Nothobranchius furzeri: one gene and its partner. Each later gene encodes a partner of the first gene's protein in a complex. Links are inferred from orthologs where the notes say so. Each region holds a gene or a part of one and is shown in the gene's direction. Other genes may lie near its edges.

What was found. The genes of interacting proteins can lie anywhere in the genome.
Region 2: the proteins of lin9 (region 1) and mybl2b are in contact, whole or in part, in a crystal structure (PDB 6C48), measured with the Homo sapiens proteins. The link is inferred for Nothobranchius furzeri from reciprocal best matches to the Homo sapiens genes LIN9 and MYBL2. Residues at the interface, in NP_001353174.1 of Homo sapiens: Lys356, Gln385, Arg386, Tyr388, Ala389, Thr390, Val392, Leu393, Leu395, Glu396, Asn399, Leu402, Asn403, Leu406; in NP_002457.1 of Homo sapiens: Trp663, Ala667, Cys668, Gly669, Gln674, Met677, Gln678, Ala681, Arg682, Leu684, Leu685, Arg687.

The regions. Positions count from the first base shown.
Region 1 is NC_091742.1:4,987,751-4,997,956, forward strand, and holds the start of lin9 (protein lin-9 homolog), read left to right. Parts: upstream 1-4,910; 5' UTR 4,911-4,976; coding exon 4,977-5,007; exon of another isoform or gene 5,008-5,011; intron 5,012-5,339; exon of another isoform or gene 5,340-5,404; intron 5,405-5,800; coding exon 5,801-5,833; intron 5,834-6,194; coding exon 6,195-6,286; intron 6,287-6,521; coding exon 6,522-6,635; intron 6,636-9,418; coding exon 9,419-9,549; intron 9,550-9,732; coding exon 9,733-9,858; intron 9,859-9,967; coding exon 9,968-10,125; intron 10,126-10,206. Other genes in the region: parp1 (poly [ADP-ribose] polymerase 1), read left to right, coding at 1-210, 292-357, 495-627, 770-965, 1,043-1,171, 1,389-1,472, 1,551-1,673, 1,746-1,874 and 6 more. UniProt on the Homo sapiens protein: Acts as a tumor suppressor. Inhibits DNA synthesis. Its ability to inhibit oncogenic transformation is mediated through its association with RB1. Plays a role in the expression of genes required for the G1/S transition.
Region 2 is NC_091743.1:41,532,544-41,542,981, forward strand, and holds the start of mybl2b (v-myb avian myeloblastosis viral oncogene homolog-like 2b), read left to right. Parts: upstream 1-5,428; 5' UTR 5,429-5,612; coding exon 5,613-5,632; intron 5,633-6,023; coding exon 6,024-6,120; intron 6,121-6,194; coding exon 6,195-6,266; intron 6,267-6,350; coding exon 6,351-6,443; intron 6,444-6,532; coding exon 6,533-6,753; intron 6,754-6,856; coding exon 6,857-6,989; intron 6,990-7,078; coding exon 7,079-7,138; intron 7,139-7,213; coding exon 7,214-7,420; intron 7,421-7,718; coding exon 7,719-7,991; intron 7,992-8,614; coding exon 8,615-8,757; intron 8,758-9,300; coding exon 9,301-9,400; intron 9,401-9,492; coding exon 9,493-9,603; intron 9,604-10,438. Other genes in the region: ift52 (intraflagellar transport protein 52 homolog), read left to right, coding at 100-187, 308-437, 521-596, 712-783, 875-1,001, 1,078-1,161, 1,257-1,325, 1,397-1,548 and 3 more; uncharacterized protein, read right to left, coding at 3,857-4,347, 4,418-4,451. UniProt on the Homo sapiens protein: Transcription factor involved in the regulation of cell survival, proliferation, and differentiation. Transactivates the expression of the CLU gene.

The DNA.
Region 1 (10,206 bases):
AGGAAGTGAGGGATGCCGGCGTGCGTGTGGTGTCTGAAGACTTCCTCGCGGACATCAAGTCATCAGGAAAAGCTCTTCAGGAGCTGGTCTCTCTGCACGCCATCTCACCCTGGGGAGCAGAGGTCAAAGTTGAAGCCCAAGCTTCATCTACTGCCTCCAAGTCTGCAGCACCGGCTGCCAAAAGCTCCGGGAGGGTCAAGGAGGAGGAAGGTAACCAGCACGCGGTTCTGTGATTATTAGCTGGCTATTAGAGAAAGCTGCAATGTGCAGTAAGTAAATATTTAATTGCAGGTGGAAGCAAATCCAAGAAGATGAAGCTCACCGTAAAAGGTGGAGCTGCTGTGGATCCTGACTCGGGTAATTCCTCAAACTTTATTGATTTAGTAGAAGGTAAAACCGGGGCACGCAGAGAGACCTTGCTAACTCCACGCACAAAGGCAATGTCCCTTTTTTTCTTTTCCTCTGCTTTTGATGGATGATCTGAACTTGTGCAGGTCTGGAGAACAGCGCCCATGTCCTGGAGCAGAGTGGGAAAATGTACAGCGCCACCCTGGGTCTGGTAGACATCGTCAGAGGGACAAACTCGTACTACAAACTGCAACTGCTGGAGGATGATGTACATAAACGGTAATCTCGTTTAGCCAACGTCCGGTTTTATTCTCTTAAAACGTCACATGCTGTCCGAACCAAGCAGATGTGGTGCTTTTTTTATGTTTAGCATTTCCTCTGAAACATAACCTCTATCCATGAACCTGCCGTGTGCTTGTAGCTACTGGGTGTTCAGATCCTGGGGCAGAGTGGGAACCACCATCGGAGGAAACAAGCTGGACAAATTCCAGGATAAAATCTCAGCGATGGATAATTTCCTCGGCCTTTACAAGGAAAAAACAGGAAATAACTGGAGTGCCTCCAACTTCACTAAATATCCTAATAAGTTTTACCCGCTGGAGATCGACTATGGACAGGTACACACACACACACACACCAGGGGACAACCTCAGACAGGTGTTTGATGTTTTGTGACCGAGTTGGACTTTTTTAGGACGAGGAGGCGGTGAAGCAGCTGACAGCCACTGCTGGCACCAAGTCCAAACTGGCCAAACCCGTTCAGGAACTGATCAAGATGATCTTTGATGTTGAAAGCATGAAAAAAGCCATGGTGGAGTTTGAAGTAAGACCTGTCTAACATTTCTTTCTATGTCTGTTTTAATGGGTCTGGGATTAAAAAGCAGCTTCATCCGCAGCGTTCAGAAAGTGGCCCTACTGAGTCTGTTTTCATAATCAACAGCAAAGTGACAGATCTCATTGTTGCGCATCATGCATCTTGTGAAAAGTTTTGACATTTAACGAGCCGGTTTTTCCTTTTTTTAATTTTTTTTATTTCCCAGATCGACCTCCAGAAGATGCCTCTGGGTAAGCTGAGTAAAAGACAAATCCAGAGTGCCTACGCTCTCCTGACGGACGTGCAGCAGGTCAGTCAATAACGGTAACATTAATTCTGTTTGAATCGGGATGAAATGAATGAGTCTGACCTCTCTGCTGGTCACTAGGCCGTGTCGGACTGCGTCCCAGAGGCACAGATCCTGGATCTGTCCAATCGCTTCTACACGCTAATACCTCACGACTTCGGCATGAAGAAGCCCCCCCTCCTTAACAACCTGGATTACGTTCAGGTACGCATGTTCTAACCCTCTCTACAACACCAGCTCTGGGCTTGAAAATCTGTCCCACGCGTCCCTGTCCAGGCTAAAGTGGAGATGCTGGACAACCTGTTGGACATCGAGGTGGCCTACAGCCTGTTGAGAGGAGGAGCTCAGGACAACGAGCGCGACCCCATCGACATCAACTATGAGAAACTCAAAACCAAAATGGAGGTAAAGGACGTTAACTCTTGGATGAACGTAGCTAACGTGTTTTTGTGTGGAAGCATTTTTTGTAATATGTTTAAAATTTCACAGGTTGTTGACAAAACCACACAGGAAGCAGAGATCATTATGCAGTACGTTAAGAACACGCATGCCGCTACGCACAACACGTACACGCTGGAAGTGCAAGAAGTAAGTTATTATTCAGTAAATAATATAAATGTTGTTATTAATGTATGATTATAGATGATAATATCAAAGTTATAATAATTTCTGATGAGTATGAGTTACAAAAACATTTCTTTTCCTTCTTTCCATTAAATCTTTTTTATAAGATCTTTAAAATAGTTCGTGAAGGAGAGCACCAACGCTACCGTCCATTCGAGGAGCTACACAACCGACAGCTATTGTGGCACGGCTCTCGCACCACGAATTACGCAGGAATCCTGTCTCAGGGTCTTCGTATTGCCCCTCCAGAAGCTCCTGTGGTGCGTTTGTACATTTGTAGAAGCATAAATCCTAGTTTGTAATATTTTCTTTTATCTTCACATTTCGTTGCCTCACAAGCTTCCTGTTCTCATCTCTCTAGACTGGCTACATGTTTGGCAAAGGTGTTTACTTTGCTGATATGGTGTCCAAGAGTGCCAACTACTGTCACACCTCGCAGTCGGACCCTGTAGGCCTCATACTGCTGGCAGAGGTTGCCCTGGGAAACATGTAAGTGATGGTCGTAGCTTATAATAAATGCCATTTGAAATGATTTTATCTCTGTGTAAATAAAGATTTCTTTTTATTATTTTAATGCAGGCATGAGCTGAAGAAGGCCTCTCATATTACAAAGTTACCAAAGGGCAAACAAAGTGTTAAAGGTCAGAAACCTGAAGATAAACACCTGGTTCAATAATTATTACTTGCTTTTTTGTTGCCTTTATGGAAAACTAACATTTGCGTAGAGGTAACTGGAAATATTTTATAGATGGTGCTAATTTTGGTCAGAATTTATGTCTTATGGTTGATTTTTTAGGGCATTTTTAAAAGATACTTTGCAACTTTTTCATATTTTAAATTTGTTTTCTTGAGCCAGTAGGTGCTAAAATGACCCTTTATAGGGTTAATGAAATGTCACTCAGACCCTCACCACCCTCTGTGGGCAAAATACTGCATTTGCAACTTCAGAGTACCGGTCCGGTCTGTTGGGCTTAGAAAAAAGTTCAGCTGACATACCTGGCGCTGCAGTCTGCTTCCAGCACATTTCCTGTATGTTTTAGATAATGAACACAGCTGATTTGTTTGATTTAGTGATGAATCACTCCTGTAGACACTAATGGAGGCTGAGGAGACATTTCAGCTGTTAAATTAAGATGTTAAAAAGACCAATGCACAGGGAGGGCATACGTTTTGCTTTCGGTTCTACTAAACTGACACTAGAGGGTGCTAAAAGCAAGTCAAAACTGACTAGTCTCCCTTTAACCTTTTTTTCTATCCAGGTTTGGGTCGAACTGCTCCTGATCCAAATGCTACTGTCAATTTGAATGGCGTGCATGTGCCTCTGGGAAAAGGCGTCCACACTAACATCGATGACACAAGTCTACTGTACAACGAGTATCCTTTGAGATTCATCCAGTTATTTCTTATTGGGAACGTTTTACAGCAATCTGATCTGAAAGTATTTATAAATCACTCATAGATTGATAACAAACATTGTTGTTGTCTTTATTGTAGCTTTATTTCACTCGTCACACATGCACTTTATTTTTATTCCTTTGCGTTCAATCCTGTTTTCTGTTTTCCTTAACCACTGCTCCTCCAGGTACATTGTTTATGATGTGGCACAGGTAAACATGAAGTATCTCTTGAAGATCAAGTTTAATTACCAGACATCCCTGTGGTAGAAAAAAGGCAACGTTTGAAGAAAAACACCACTTCTGCATCCAAATGCCTGGAATATTATACCACTTTACAGCTATTTCATGGTTCTGTAGCAGGCAGCCTTCATTAGGATCACGTTAACTTTGTAAAACTGAAATCACAACAGGACGGTTGTAGAAAATACAGGAAGCCTCAGACGATGATGGTTAACGATTTCATTCTTTTAATTTGATCAGTTCATGAAAATCTGTTGATAAGCTTACGTCTAAAGTGTTACAGAGTGTCTGCAAGGGGTTTTGAGTTGAGACCAGAATTATTTCAATGGCTGTTTTCTGAAGTAGCCTTGATGATACTGTATAAGGTCTGACATGTACATATTTGTTTAGTTGTTTCTGTCTCAAGCCGTCTTCCACAACTTTTTGTATGAAAATTGTGTTAATTTTTGTTCCATAAATCACAATAAAGCACGGGACATGTAAAGACTTTTGTCTTTATGTTTTTGTTTTACTCTGAATGGAAATCAGCCTATAATGCATTTATTTACCATTTGTAAACATGTTGAAAGTAAATGATCTTATGGGAGGTCAAAGGTCATGTCCTTAATGCTTCGTGTTCTTAAAAGTGTTTCAACTGCTTTAACATTTTTGGTTTTTAGCTAAATAAAGTTGGTTACAGCCGCGTTTTAAGCATACATGTTCAGTTGAATTAATATTTATGGTGGAAAACCTTTGATTTCACCTTGAAAGTGCTTGAATTTGATTTGGTTTAAGATGTAAAAACCGTGAAATAAAAAAATGCATATAATATACTAACGAGATAAAAATGAGTTTAGCAACAACGTGATCACGAGACTACCTGATAGACTTAAAGCATTTAATATTTAAAGTACAGCTCATAGGCTAATTTAGTTATTGTAGAGGTAACGTAAAACATTAAATAACGTGTTAACTTTGTGTCTGAATTCTTAAATCCGACAAAGGACATTTCCAGTACGTCTAAGTGGAGTCAAGGTTTGTTATCCACACCCATCTTTTTTCTTGCATTCCTGTACCAAGTTTCAACAAAAATATTGTACTTATATAAAATATACTTTACAGTTTATGAGTCAGAGTGACACAAAGTGACTTAGCGCCGGTGGTTGTATCAGTTTGTTTATTTTTTGTCTCAAATCGCCCTCCAGACGGATTCTAACCCAGAATGCATTTTGACAAAGTCTTTGAAAAGCGGCGCGGCTAATTCAAGATGGCGGAGATGGACCAGCTGTTAGACGAGAGTGGGTAACAACACACCATACTGTCAGTTTTACAGTGTGAACAAGCAGCGAATCTATTATAAAAAAGATAAACAGCAGGCGGAAACCCGATAGCACCGTTCATACGGCAAATATTGTAGGTTTTGGGTTGACTTTATAAGCCGCGTTTGGATGTAGAAACCGGTCTACTGCTTGCTAGCACCACGAGCTAACTATAGCTAATACAGCAGTTGAAGAAGTTACTTTAGCTCAACTGGGTAAACGAATCCCGTTAGCTTAGCTGTGAGCTAACCGCTGCTAACCTTATAAATAGAGCTACAATAACAATAGGACTACCGCAGCTAATGACTCTGTGTTTGAGTAATCAGGCTTAGTTTTCCTCATCTTTCTCCCTGGAAATGTATTTTCTTACCATAAGGTTTGTTAGCGCTTGTTACATGGTTACGCGATTGTTGTTATCATTTATTGGTTTGGCTTTTTACACTGAAATAACGGATCTAAATAAATTTAATGTAATTAGATATGACCTTCAGTTCGTGGTAACATCAGCTCGCTTCACCATGTCTGGTGTTGCCTGTCAAGCTGATGTTTCGACCCGTGTTTGACAGCTGAAACTTGGGAGGAAAGGCCTCTAACTCAACCTATCTGACCGATCCGAACGTCATTTTGGTTCTTTGATAGCATAAGTAATATTAGCATTTTACTCAAACATGGAGATATCTGATTTCCTACATTTGTTGATGAAATGACATTTGTTTTAGCTGTTAATAATGCTAATTGATACTGATGTTGCACAATTTCCCATCTTCCTTAGGCTCCTCTGCAGAGGCCCTGGTCAGTTTAAAAGGTACTTAGTCTGTTTATTTTTAATTTGCTCTTTGTACTGTTAAAATGATCTGGATTTAGATTTTTCGTAAACTATGTTTTTATCATTAAAAACATGAACGTTGATTAGGTCAGAGCCATATATGTATTAAACTCCTGGATAAAAGTGGTTAGTATTCCTAAGCCCCTCACACACATGAAGCTGTGTATTACCCTCATAATACCAAGCTTATGACCTGCACTGCCTGCATGTTTTTACAAAATAAAGTCAGCAGTTCGTGCTTTCTTTCTAGTAATAAAAACAGCACAAACTTGGTCAGAAAGCATATTAAATTTATGTGGATTGTGTTCACAATTTATTGTACAAATCCATCTTTTTACAGAGGGCAGCTTGTCTAACACTCTGAATGAGAAGAACAGTTTCACTAGAGCTCACAACACCAGAGGACGCCATTCATCTGTCACAATGGACGTGGTAAAACGATGATCACTTTTATCATGACTAATTAAGATGAACTAGAAACGCATTTATTATTGTTTGGAAAGCTACAATTACATAAGATTTGTATATTTGTCATAAAAAGTTTGAATAAATATTAATAATGGACTTTCTTGAAGACACTTTGGAGGCATAATTGAGATTTGTCGAGAAACAGTTCTATAAAAAAAATATCGATTCTTCTGAGAAAACTTAATTTTTGTGTCTTCAGCCTACAAGGAGCTCTAAGAGAAGCCGTTTGTTTCGGGAGGAAGATGAATCGCCGCAGCAGCGTCCCTCTTCCAGGTCCCCTCGGAGGAGCCAAAGGGTCTCCACTACACCACAGGTACAAACGCCAAAGTTTTCACGGGGTCTCAAAATCATTAAAAGTGCTTGATAGTACAAATTATTACTCAAGAGTATCTTTTTTTTTTGTAAAACCAGGAAGTGAAAGAGTTGTTCTGTGCATGTGTGTGCTGTTCATGCACGTAAGATGCAGGAAAATCTTAAGCTTTTGAAACTGCTGTAACGTTTATTTGGCGAAGGTGTAAGGACCATAGAACTCCACTCAATAAGGTTGTTATACATAGGATGGTCTTTCTGCTTTTCTTTTCTAAAGTGTGTGTAAAATGCTGACTTGTGACATTTAATCATGACTTAATGGTTGCTTTTGGGGACGTTTATGATCATAAAATTTGTTTGTAGTTGCACCAAAACAGTTTGGGGTGTTGGTGCATTCAAGGAAGAGGAGATGAACTTGGTTGACCTGTTCTGCAGTATTATATTGACATACTGCCCTCTAAAGCAACATTTTAGTGGATTTTATTGGGAACATTGGTTCATTCATTCCAAATAGTTTGTTTAAAGGCATATTTTACAACTTCTTCATATTTTTAAATCATTTTCTTGAGCCGATATGTGCTAAAATGACCTTTTACAGGGTTAATAAAATGTCACTCAGACCCCACCGCCTCTATGGCCAGAAAATCACACTTGCAACTTCAGTTTCCGGTCCCTTTTGGACCTTGTAAAGTTGAGCTGACATGCCAGTGCTGCAGTCTGCTTCCAGCATGTTGAACACAGCTGATTTGTTTGATTTAGTGATGAACCGCTTCTGTTTAAACTAATGAAGGCTGAGGACACGTTTCACGCATTAGATTAAGCTGTAAAAAGATGAACGCACAGTAGTAATGTGACGTTCATGAACAAATCGAATCTTTTGAACACGTTTTCAAAGTGAACAGTGAGAGCCGAGTTCCTGTAGAGTAGAGGTGTGAATCTTCACTTGTCTCTCGATTCAATTCGATTCGATATCCCGATGCGTCACGATTATTTCATATTGATTTGTTTTCATCGATGAATTGAAGATGTCAGATAATTGCTTTTTATTTTTTATCAAAAGCGTAATTGACACAACCTGCCGTCCCCCAAAAGCTCTCCATTCACAACAGTTAAGGACGAAACATTTTAAACATTTAAGAAGATTTAACAAAGTAAAACAATCTGTTTCCTGGTTCAACACCACGCCTCAGGCTGAGAAAAACACGCTTTGCAAAAACTCACAAAATCTAAAAAAGTACTGAAAACCTACAGGACACATAATGTAATAATAAAATCCATAATGGGTTCATAAATGAGTGTTTAATGTCTCTGAGCAGCTCTAGAGTCAAATATTTATGCTGCAGTTCAAGTCTGTCAGAAATGACACCAAATGAAATGTTTGACTTAGTTTATTTTATTTGAACCCAGTGGTTCATTTCTGAAATGTTGGAGCAGGAATCAAGTTCTGTTTGATGCAGAAAATAATAAAACATCAAACTAATTATACACTTCCAATAATATTTAAGATGTGTGTTTTATTCTTGCTGATAATAACACCAGCAGAAGGCTGTGGGCTGGATTAGGATTAAATTACCCAGCTGATGGATCTCCTTCACTAACCAGCTAACTACAAACCTTTCCACTAAGCTGTCCTGTGGGACCCTCACCATGTAACCCTCCATGCTGTCTCTGGAGGAGCAGGTAGAAGACAAGATCTCCTGTAACTTAAAATGAACCAAAGCTTCCTCCCAGTTTCTCTTTAAGCTGAATTTAACATCATTTTATCTTCATGAAACAAAAGAATTAAGTGGAACAAGAACTTCTATCTTCTATTTCGCTCTCCTTTTAACTTCTCCGTGTCCCTAAATTAAAGAGACAGACGACCACGCTGCAGCCGCCATCACTGACCCCGCCCCCTCCCCAAGACCGGATCTCCCAGCATCACAACACTCGGTCTGACTGAGCGCTTCCAGGAGAAACAATAATTAAATTATGAAAATAATTATGCGTGTTTGGAGCATCGGTTTGGAGGAGCGTCCTCCGATCCTCTCTCTTGTGTGAGCAGACAGTGTCTCTCTCTCTCTCTCTCAGTCGTTGATCGAGCGAGCGGAGCGCGCCGCATGACGACCCGCTCAATTAACATAATTCGCAGCCCAATTCCAACAGAACCGGTTGGGCTGATTCGGTCTCAGGTTACAACTCTAGCGTTCAGCCCTGCAGTACCACATTAAGGCGGAACCACTTGGTAAATGTGGAGGACGCTCACTGACAGATTTGGATGCTGCGCTGGTGCTGCCGTTAAAACAAAACTACATTCCACCATAATCGATTATGGCGTACTCTTCTACGACGCAGAATCGTTTATGTCCGCATCCCGATGCATCGATTATTTGATTATTTTCCTCAGCTCTACTGTAGAGAGCCGTTCATCTTGTCTTGTGGTAACGAACGTCCCCGAAAGTCGGCAAAGCGCGCTCGCTTAACCCCCTTCCACCGCTGCAACCATGTTGCTCTTATCACACACAAACACACACGCTCTGATGGCTTCGCTTCATTCAAAGGAGCCAGTCTTTTGAACGGCTCTTTGAGGTAAATGACCGACTAAAGAATGACTGCCATGAAATGCCATAAATCTCATCACTAACGCACAGTGAGAAGAGTTTCACTTTTGGACACCAGGGGGTGCTAAAAGCAAGCCAAAACTACATAGTTTCCCTTTAATTGCATCATTGATTTTTGTGTTTATGGCCTCATGGCTCTTGTGTATCTGCATGTGCATTGATGGTTGTCTTGCATTTGTCTCTGCAGAAGTTTTCAAACATCATGACACCAGATAAGAAGGCTTCACAGAAAATAGGGCTGAGATTGAGAAACCTCCTTAAACTACCCAAAGCTCACAAATGGTGCATCTATGAATGGTTCTATTCCAATATCGACAGGTAACGTCTCACTTTGGAAGATGTTGGTCATTTACACACAGACATATTTGAGTTGGTCTGTTTTATTCTCCAGGTACATTTATAGTAACTTAAGTCAACCTAGATGTACAAAACAATTTAGTTCACGAGTTAATGTCTTGTTTAATTGCACTTTCAAAATAAATTTGTTGTTTTTTCTTCCAGACCTTTGTTTGAAGGTGACAATGAGTTCTGCTTGTGCCTCAAGGAGTCTTTTCCCAATTTGAAAACAAGAAAATTGACCAGAGTTGAGTGGGGAACCATCAGGAGGCTGATGGGAAAACCTCGACGGTACGCGGTGGTCTCTACGTTTGTTGTTCCCCGTGTGTTTCACCTGAATGTTGAAGCCTCAGATCAAAGCCGGTCGATGTTACAGTTCTGGTTCTGTCGACACATCCAGGTGTTCATCGGCTTTCTTTGCTGAAGAGAGAACCGCGCTGAGGCAGAAGCGGCAAAAAATGCGCCTTTTGCAGCAGAGGAAACTGTCAGATGTGTCAAATTGCAAAGACCTTCCTGATGAAATTCCTCTGCCACTCATCATAGGGACAAAAGTCACTGGTAAGATCACCAGTTTCACATGTACTGATGATTCTGCAACATTTTATATGACTTGTTTAAAAAAAGTCTATAGAAAATCCT
Region 2 (10,438 bases), on another chromosome or scaffold:
ATGTGGACCAAAACAGAAGCTGTCATGAAATAAAACAAGTATTCAAGCAAAGTACAATAGGAAATGTGCTGAGTTGCATGCATCTGATTTCTACTTCAGCATGAAGGAAAAGGTCAGTATGGAGAAGTTGAAGGGAGCCCCGTTGTGGATTTCTGCAGGCCCGAGGGAGAAGTTCACTGCATCAGAGGTGATTTGTTTACACTAATCTGGCTGCTTTATTTTAATGGAAATTTGCACATTTGCATGAGAATTACTTGCATCAGTCTGAGAAGAGCTGCTTTGCTCTGTCTGATCCCATTTCTTCCAGTTAGAGATGCTGAAGCAATACCTGGATGGAGGGGGGAATATCTTGGTCATGCTGGGCGAGGGGGGAGAGATGAAATACAACACAAACATCAATTTCCTCCTGGAGGAGTTTGGAATAATGGTCAACAATGGTGCGTGTTGATCTTACCAGACGTCAGAACTTCTGTTAAGGTTGTTTTTCGTAAAACGGTGAATGTTCTCTTCGCTACACCAGATGCAGTTGTGAGGAATGTTTATTACAAATACTTCCATCCAAAGGAGGCTTTTGTTTCTGATGGCGTGTTGAACAGGTTTGAAATTTTCTCAGAATTCTAAAACTTTACAAAGTCCTGTCTTTTACAAAGAAATAAAATATGCTGGCGTTTCAGGCTGATTCAAATGAGAGGTTTTCTTCCTCTTCCTCAGAGCGATCAGTCAAGCTGCCAGCAAAGTGACCTCAGGACTTATCGAGGATGAAAATATCGGAAACAAGTCTCAGTAAATGACTTCCTTTAATGTTGTCTTTTTACACACCATGTTTCCTGTTTTTGTTTGGGTGAAACGAGTTGTTCTGTGTGTTTTTGTACAGAAATCTCTCATTTGTGTACCCATATGGAGCCACGCTGAGTGTGATGAAGCCTGCTGTGGCTGTTCTTTCTACCGGTTTCATCAGCTTCCCGCTCAACAGGCCTATCCTGGCCTTCTATCAGGGAAAAGTGAGTTTTAAAAATGTTTTTATTGGCCAGTAACATCTGTAAAATGATACTGAAAGATATATGTTTTCTCATGAAGGAGGCTGGCAAGCTGGCTGTTTTGGGTTCCTGCCACATGTTCAGTGATCAGTATATAGACAAGGAAGGAAATAGTAAAATCATGGTGAGTTCAAGAGTTTTTTTTTCTTTCAAATGGAAAACCATCCCAGCCTGTTTTTTTTTTTTTATGGGATTTTGTTTTCCCTCTTTTCCTCCCAGGATGTTGTGCTTCAGTGGCTCATGACTGATACTATTCAGCTGAATCAGATCGATGCAGAAGATCCAGAGGTACGTAGAACACAACGGGCCCGGGAAACAGGACCACCGGTGGTTTGATGCACACCTCTGTGATCTCCCAGGTTGCAGACTACACCATGCTGCCAAACACAGGGTGCTTGTCAGGACAGCTCAGTGCATGTTTACAAGAAAGCGACGAGAACCCCAGAGACTCCACCTCCTTCATTAAGTCTGTGTTAGATTTATCAACTGAGACATTACAGCAAGTCATAAGGTGGGAAAGCGGGACTCATCCAGCACATGTTTGATGCTTTCCTTGCAGCTAAACCACTTTCCCTTGCTCTTGGCAGTGCTTATGAGCAGCTGAATGTGAAGCACGAGCCACTCCAGCTCATCACACCACAGTTCGAGACTCCTTTGCCTCCGCTTGAACCGGCTGTAAGTTTTTACGTCCAAAAACCACATAAGGCCCTGTAGAACAGGTGGCTATAGAGCCGCACATTAGCCAAGCTCCTATTCAGCTGTGCCTCCTCAGGCTAACAGATTCACTGAGGTGCCACCTGTAAATGGTCAGTGAGACTATGTGACAGTATTGAAGAATAAAACGTGTAGAAATCTCAGTCCACCCACAGTCTAGTTAGACAATACCCGCAGAGGCACCCTTTGCTCGTCGCTATGTCCAAAAGCACTGCCGGCCTTGCAGACGTCTAAAAGGGATATTAAGGTATTTTTATTTTCATGTAAAATTGAATAAAAGTTTGCAGCTGGAGTCCTGAACACTCAGCAGCTGGTCAGAGCACAGCCAACACCAACGTGTTTTCAAAATAAAAGCACACCAATATGTTTCACAGCCAATCACCTGATCATTCATTGACATTGCCGGTGTCGGTACAGGATCGGCTCGGGTCCCTTCGACTGCCGATGACGTCACATTACTGCAAATCTACTCGGCTTTCACACACGTTTTGGAAAGACATCAGCAGTTTTAATAAATTCTTGTTTGTTAACACTTAAATGTTTTCTTTAGAATTGTAATTTGTTAATAAAACACCAGATTATCTTTGTTTTGTAAAGAATGTGAAACTGCATAAAACCAGCATTGGACTGACATTCGAACAGTTCTTACATGTGAAGCCATATCGGTTTGTATTAATGTGGAGTTTGTCTGTATATTTCCTTAGTTATCTAAATACACTCTTTGACTCTAAATATTGCTTGGTGTCTTTCAAAAAAGTTCTTATATTTTATTTTGCCCCATTTCATCAACATAAAGAGCTTTTGAGGGTCACCGTTTATCATTTGCTTATATTTTACATTTCATTTAGAAATTCAAACATTTTCTCCAAAAACTGTTGATTTTTGCACTACAGGACTGCAACCGCAAATTTGTTCTGACCAATCACAATCATAACGTGATAACGTAACTTCCGTAAGCTTCATGTTCAGCCAATCAACCACGTTGACGTCATCGGCAGTCGAAGGACCCCGAGCCGATCCTGCACCGACGCCATCAGGCGAACAGAGAGCGTGCCAGTTATTAAAACAGATGACGTCTGAAGCGGTCCTGGATGTGCTGCAAACACCGATTTGTTTTGTCATTTGACCAAAATGTCAAGTAGACGAACTCCAGGCCCATCTGAAGTGCAGCCTTTAGAAATTACTTTTTCATTTCAGGACTCCATAAGTTGCATCTGAGCTGACAAATTTTCTCAGACGACTCAAACCTTGCTCCTCATTTTTAGGTCAGAATAAACGTTGGTCCAACCCGTAGCTCATCGGTTCTGTTGGATGTTAACACTCTTTGTGAACAGGAGCTTTTACCACATGATCAGTGAGATTACAGGATTAGACTGCTGTACAAGAATTAACTCCAAAATGGGGCCGAAAAATGTCTTAACGCCTTTACGTTTTAGGTTTTCCCTCCTGCCCTGAACGACTTGCCTCCTCCTATGCTGGACTTGTTTGATCTAGATGAAACCTTCTCATCAGAGAAGGCCCGACTCGCACAACTCACCAACAATTGTAAGACCTTTCACCAGCTTCCTCAGCTGGAAGCAGGACGGTACCATTGCCAACTCCCCTCCCCCCCTCCCCACAGGCACAGACGACGACCTGGAGTTCTACATTCGCAGATGTGGTGAAATTCTGGGTGTGACTCCCAAACTAGATAAAGAGCAGCGGGATGCCAAGCACATACTAGAACATATCTTCTTTCAGGTTGTAGAGTTTAAGAAACTCAACCAGGTGGGTGTGGCCTGTCAGTCTGGTGCCATGGTGCTTCGAGTCTGGTTCAAGTTTAACTTCTCACCTTCAGGAACACGACATGGAGACAGAGGAACGGGTGTCAACATGACCTGGTCTACGGTCCGAACGCGAGCGGGATGTGGTCCTAGCAAGCTGCCGTCAACGTTCAGAAGACTTGGGAGTGAAAGCATCTGCAAATCAACGTTTTCTATCTTTATTGTAGTAAATTATTAATTAAAAGACCCTCATTTATTAGAATAGTTTTTAGGTGCATGACTCAAAAATAATCCATCCACTTCATCTTAAAGGATGCAACAGTAGATCATTCTGATGCCCCATCAGGGTGAAACCTCAGCCAGGGACTGGTTCTGGGGTTTGGGACTCCACGTCTGCTGCTGAACGCTGGAATCCACGAAGCACCGGGGGCTGTTGCTCTCAGCTTTAATCACGGACACGTCCCAAGAGATCTGCAAGGACGTGAGGTCTCCATTAGACCGGTCAAAAAACCCAGCGGGTTTAGAATTCGGCACGGTCACGATGGGCGTGGAAAATTTCCCCTGCATGGGCACGGTCAGGGTGCAGCCATCAGCCTCTTGTGTGTTGGAGCCGGAGCCCAGAAACGAAAACCCCCGACAAGGAGAAAGGAGATCCGTTGACAGACAGAGGGAAGCCAGGATAGATACTCTGCCCTCAGATCTGTTCGCTACAGCTTCATTTGATGCTCTGGAGAGGGACAGGTACTCCAAAGACAAAGCAGACAGCAAACCCTGTTCTCCAAAGAACTTCCTGTCCAGCTCTGATGGAGATGAGCACTCAAAGCTTTTCAGATCTAGAAAGATAAGTAGTTAAGAATGTGAGCTTCTCATCAAAGGTAGCAACAAAATCACCAGCATGCTTACCTTTAAAAACAAAAGCTTTGTCCATGGTGTCCATTGGTCTTCAAACACCTGGCCAGCAGCAGGTGGCTTTAAATGGTTGAAGCTGCTTGTTAATTGGCCCAGCTGGAGGCTGCTCATCAGTCGGGATCAGAGGAAACGTTTTCTGTTTGGGCCGATGTGTGTTTGCAGTTCTGCTTTAAAAAATACTGTTTCATTTATAAAATGATTAGAATGGCTTTTAAATCTTTATTGAAAAGAAAACAAGACAAATTTACAGCACATGATCATAGTAATCTGCAACTTGGGGCCACAAGAGGCTCTTTGTGTCTCATATCTTGGTGATTAATTATATTTATTTTCAAAGTTTCATAATAAAGGTCTTTGTTTGGTTTCTGTCCAGTTTTATGCAAGTTTATATACATCTATAACAATTTGATACTAATGACACCTCTGTCGATTGGTTCCATAGCTTATTGTCCCTGATCTTTTACTCAAATTCACCACAAAGTAAATATATTTAAATAAAGTTATGGCGAGTATTTAGGACTCATTTAATTAAACATGACACATTGATAAAAGGGTTATCTGGCAAGTTAGAGAAAGAAATAGAGGTATAGCATATGTTAGATTTCATAGTGGAATAGTTTAGTGTTTATATTTTACCACAATATTGTTTTTACACTTACAGAGGGAGTGCCTTTTAATTTGACCTCCAGAGGAAAATCACATATTTGGCTAAATATATTGATTACAAGCCAATTACATTAAGTGGATAAAATAAATAAATATACTAGGATTAATCAGAAGAAAGGACAATTGAAGAAACGTGTTTCTTGTTTTTGAGTTAAGAAGTTTCGAGAGAAATTGTGAAATTTCTAGAATAAACAAAAGCTTGCTACGCTCCTCGTTCTTTTATTTTGAAAGTCTGGTGGGAAGTTTGACATCTTCCTGCGCCTGACTGGTTCGACCGCGCAGATCTGGTGCGCATCTACGTCACTGCTCTGGTCGAACGAGAGTGAAGGGCGCGAGATAGAAATAAGAAGCGCGGTCGGAATGGGCGCTCAGCGGCTGCTGCTGTCGGTACACAGAACCTCCAGCGCCGGCCCCTCAGAACCACACCGGGACAACGGTCCACTCCAACGTAAACACCTCTGTGCGCGCGCGGCGGAAGGAGGGAATATCGCCGTGTGACAAAGTAAACAAGTGAAGCAGAGAAATGTCTTCGTGGTCGCGCGGGTAAGAGATCGATCGTTGTTGCCGGATGTTGTTTTTGACAGTAGCAGAACTTGTTAATCTACTGATGTCTGGACGTTACTGCCTAGCTTAGATGCATTTGCAGCTGCAGTTAGCGGAAGGGAAACACGTTAGGAGGAGTTTTATTGTTGGAATTGTGACTCACGACTGCCGCCCTTTTCCGGGCTGTAATCACGAACAACAAGTCTGAGCAAATGAATCCTTGTCCTGCCCTCAGCAGTACTGTTGGTTGTAGCTAGTGAATTATAAATAATATAACCATGAAAACGCGCAAGTCCGCTCGTTTAGCCTCCCCCCGCCTGTATGGCCTTAGGGCGGGCACTGGCTAACTCCTGGTGTCTTCATTAATCAGCTGTGCACATGTGTTTCTCAGCGAGGATGCAGACGAGGCCATGCATCAGGACACTGATTCTGATGTGGCCGAGCCCAGGGATGGAGGGAAGGTGAAGGTGAAGTGGACTCAGGAGGAGGTGAGTGTGCTGACTTGTCCCAGATCACGTCGTTGTGGGTCAGCAGACCTGAACACACTGGGTTGTCTTTACAGGATGAGAAGCTTAAAGTGCTGGTTCTAAAACTGGGTCAGAATGATTGGAAACGTGTTGCCAGCTGCATCCCAGTGAGTCCCGCTGTTCTGGTCTTTAGTGTTACCGTCTTCGAGTCACTCCTTTAGCTCGTTCGTGCCTCTCTTTGCATTCTTCAGACTCACACCGAGCACCAGTGTCAGCACCGCTGGTTGAAGGTCTTGGATCCAGAACTGGTCAAAGGTCCTTGGACCAAAGAGGAGGATGAGAAGGTGGGCTGCGTTTCGTGTTGTGGATCAAGTGTAGAATATTTCTTGAGATTGTCAAAAAGATGCAACTGAATTGTTTGTTTTTCTTCCAGGTCATAGAGCTTGTTAATCTCTACGGTAACAAACAGTGGGCGATGGTAGCCAAGCACCTGAAGGGCAGACTGGGAAAGCAGTGTAGGGAGCGCTGGCACAACCACCTCAACCCCAACGTGAAGAAGTCATCGTGGACTGCTGAGGAGGACCTGATCATCTACAAGGCCCACTGTCTGCTTGGAAACCGCTGGGCCGAGATCGCCAAGCTGCTTCCTGGAAGGTCGGAAAATGTTGCTTCCTGTTTTCTAAACAAGTGGGAGGATGCACTGATTTGTGGTTGAAGCTGAATCTTCTGCTGAAAGGTCTTGTACATCGTTTAACAGGACGGATAATGCTGTGAAGAATCACTGGAACTCCACTATAAAACGAAAGCTGGAGATGGGCTTCTACGCCAGCGAGGTTTTCAGAGCAAACGAGCTGGAGGAGCTGCTGGCGCGCGTTAGTAAAGACGTGCTGGTGGGTCGTCTCCCTCCACCAAGCCTCCTACATCAGCAGCAGTCTCACGTGTTTCTGATTCGAACATCTTGTCTGTGGTGAACCAACAGGTCGCTGGATGCTCTCAGGATGGTTCGGACAAAGAAACGGATTCAAAAGTCCGACTTTTAGTAAGAAATCATCGCATCTATTAAAAACTATGAGCTTAAATGTTGCATCAGCCATCAGTCCTTATGTTTTTACAGAAGTCACAGGAACCATCGGCTCCTGCTAAGAATTCCCACGAAGCAGAGTCGTCCAGGGCTGTCTCCTCTCTAAAGGACGTGTCAAGCCCCAAGACCGATGTGGACTCCACAGGAGAGACGAACAGTTCCAACTGGGTGGTGGACAGCTCTGGTTTCCTCTACCCTACAGGCCCTGTGCTGAAGGAAGTGCTGGACATGGTAGACGGGGTAAATACCCATAATTCACCAGAAAAATAACAAACGCATCTCTGAAACTAACTAAAGTTTAATCGTATTTGATTATAAGAAATGAGAAGCAACTCGTTGCTCCGGTTTAGTTAAATAACCAGTTGCAGCAGAAAGATGATCACCGGTGCAGCAGTTAAATCCAGGTGGTGCCTTTTTCTGTCCGTGTTGTTTTAAAGGATTATTCTATTCTATTCTATTCTATTCTATTTAGTCGACTCTTTGTAAAATCTAGCGGATACCAGACTTGTAAATAAAACGATATCTCCTGTTGGTGGAGGACTTGGACGGCTGGTGCAACCTGGCAGCCTTCGACTTGCCCGAGGACAGCCCCAGCCCCGAGCGCCACCAGTTCCGTCTGGAGGGCAGCGCCTTGCAGGAGCTGAGCAAGTGCAGCAAGGGAGAACTCATCCCCATCTCCCCCGGAGGAATCACCCCTCCCTCCATTCTGTCCCGCCGCAGCCGGAGACGCATCGCCCTGTCTCCAGACGTCAATCGGTCCATGACTCCAAAGAGCACCCCTGTCAAAATCCTGCCCTTTTCTCCGTCACAGGTGAGGAAAAGCTCCATGCTGACGGCACCGACGCTGGTTACACGTCTCCGTCATCCGGGTCATGGTAGTCTGATGAAGGCAACTGAACTTCTTCGGTTCTTCGCCTAAAAGAGGCTTAATGGCAGCAGGACAGAAATAAATGCACCGATATGACATTTTTGGGCCGATATCCAAATACTGACATCAGTGCTTCTAAAATCAGCAGGTTTTGCATAGAATGAACACATTAAAGCTGAAGAGATGATTACAATCACGGTCACATGACTAAACGAATACACCCCACCCTCTTAAACATAAAGAAGATGGGGGGAAAATATGGGTTGTTCATATCGGCCCAGTTTTATTTATGGGGCCGATGCTGATGTACAGAAAATGTGTGTGTATTTATTCTACTGCCCAGCTAAAGCCTCACACACATAATTACTGACCTATTAGCATGAAGCTGGTTATTACAAAGATGTCAGAAGTGATGTTTGTCCCAAAGCCGTGACAACTGGTTAATCGTTTTATTGTAAGATTGGAGTTTGCTGCCTTTATAAATAAAATGGCCGTTTAATCTCCTCTTTTACTAAACGTCGTTTTTTAGAGGCACAAAATCTGCCGACCTGACTTGTTGTTTTCAGTTCCTGAACATGTGGACCAAGCAGGACACGCACGACCTGGAGAACCCGTCCCTCACGTCCACCCCCGTGTGCAGCCAGAAGGTCGTCGTCACCACGCCGCTGCAGCGGGACAAAACGCCGCTCACGCAGAAGGAAAAATCCATGTGAGTGAAAAAGAAGAGAGGACAGATGTTTTCTGTAGCGCGGCGCCTCACCAGATAAAAAATCGTCTCAATTAAAATAAAAAAGATTTTTAAAAGTGATTGAAAAATCACAAAAATGAGAAAAATAAAAAATGTAAGGAAAGAAATGAGGAAATGAATAAGAGCTAATCAGTGGAAACCGGGAAAGGTGGAACGGGTGGAACAAGGAGAGGGTGATGAAGGTCCGACCAAAGCCTGAACAGGTGAGTCTTCAGCTGCTTTTTAAAGGAGACCGCTGAGTCCACTGATCTCAGGCTCAGGGGGAGAGAGTTCCAGAGTCTGGGGGCCACAGCAGCAAATGATCTGTCACCTTTGACCTTTAGCCTGGTGCTGCACAACCAGTAGGCTTTGATCACTGGACCTCAGGGACCTGCTGGAGGTGTAGGGACTGAGAAGATCACCAATGTATGATGGTGCTTGTCCATGTGAGGCCCTGCTGCTTTGCTGTGGAACAGATCAGTGTTTTTATTTTCACTCATGACCTTATTTTTGTGTGTATTTTAGGTTTGTTACTCCGAACCACAAGTCTGGGATCTGCACAACGCCACGAACCCCAACACCGTTCAAGAATGCCATGGAGAAGTACGGCGCTCTGCATCCTCTGGTGAGTCTCGCCCCGGTCTCCTCACAGCCGCTGGTAGGTGTTTGGTTTACTTCTGTGTTTGATTTCTGCTATTTCCTGTTTGGTCTCCTCAGCCCCAGACTCCAAACCTTGAAAACGATATTAACGAAGTCATCCTCAGAGATGCGGGGATAAATGTGGTCGTCATGCGTTCCACTCCACCGGAGCAACGGCGCAAAACAGCGGTAACGAGAGCTTTTTTCCAGTCAGGCGTGAAGCAGCGTGCTTTATAAGAGAGGAAGTAAAACCGAACAATTACAGGCAGCAAGGAGTTAGGAGCACCAAGAAAGCTGTAGCTCCTCCCACTCTAACGGGAAAGAGCGGATTCAGAGAGGTAGTAAAATCATGGAAGAAACGACTTTATGATGTTTTATTTGTGTGACATTCTGTATTGGGTTTGTTTACCTCAATACACCTGCAAACATTACATCCATTTAAAAAAAAGGCCACCTCCTGGCGTCACGTGGTCAGAGAGACGTAACCCGATTGACTAAAAGCCACGCGGCTCAACGAGGTGACGAGTGCTTTGGTCACTAGGAGGTCAGGCCACCTGCCATGCTGAATATCAGCTGCTGGATTTGTACGGGTGAAGTTGACGCTGGTGTATTTTAATTAAAACATTCAAATACATAATTTCACAGAGTAATCAGCATGTCGTGAATTCAGCATCTAAAACACGTCGTTTTCTGTTGAGACGGGTTTGTTCCATATGAAATGATGTCGGTAATCTGAAAAATAAAATGCTGCCAAATAAAACTAATCTGTAATTAAAATATCCAGAATAAAATATTATCGTCAACGAAATTAGATTCCTGATCTAACAACTGAAAAGTAGAAGATAAAAAATAACACGATCTCTGTACGTATACAGTAGGAGCAAATGTACTAATGGTTCTGTACCTGTGCTGGAAATGTTCCTGATTCTAAGAAAACCTCGGTCCATGCCTTTGACATAAATATACGTGGACATCTCCTTTCCATAGGCTCCAATATCACGCTTTTGTGCCAAAATGGGAGGTG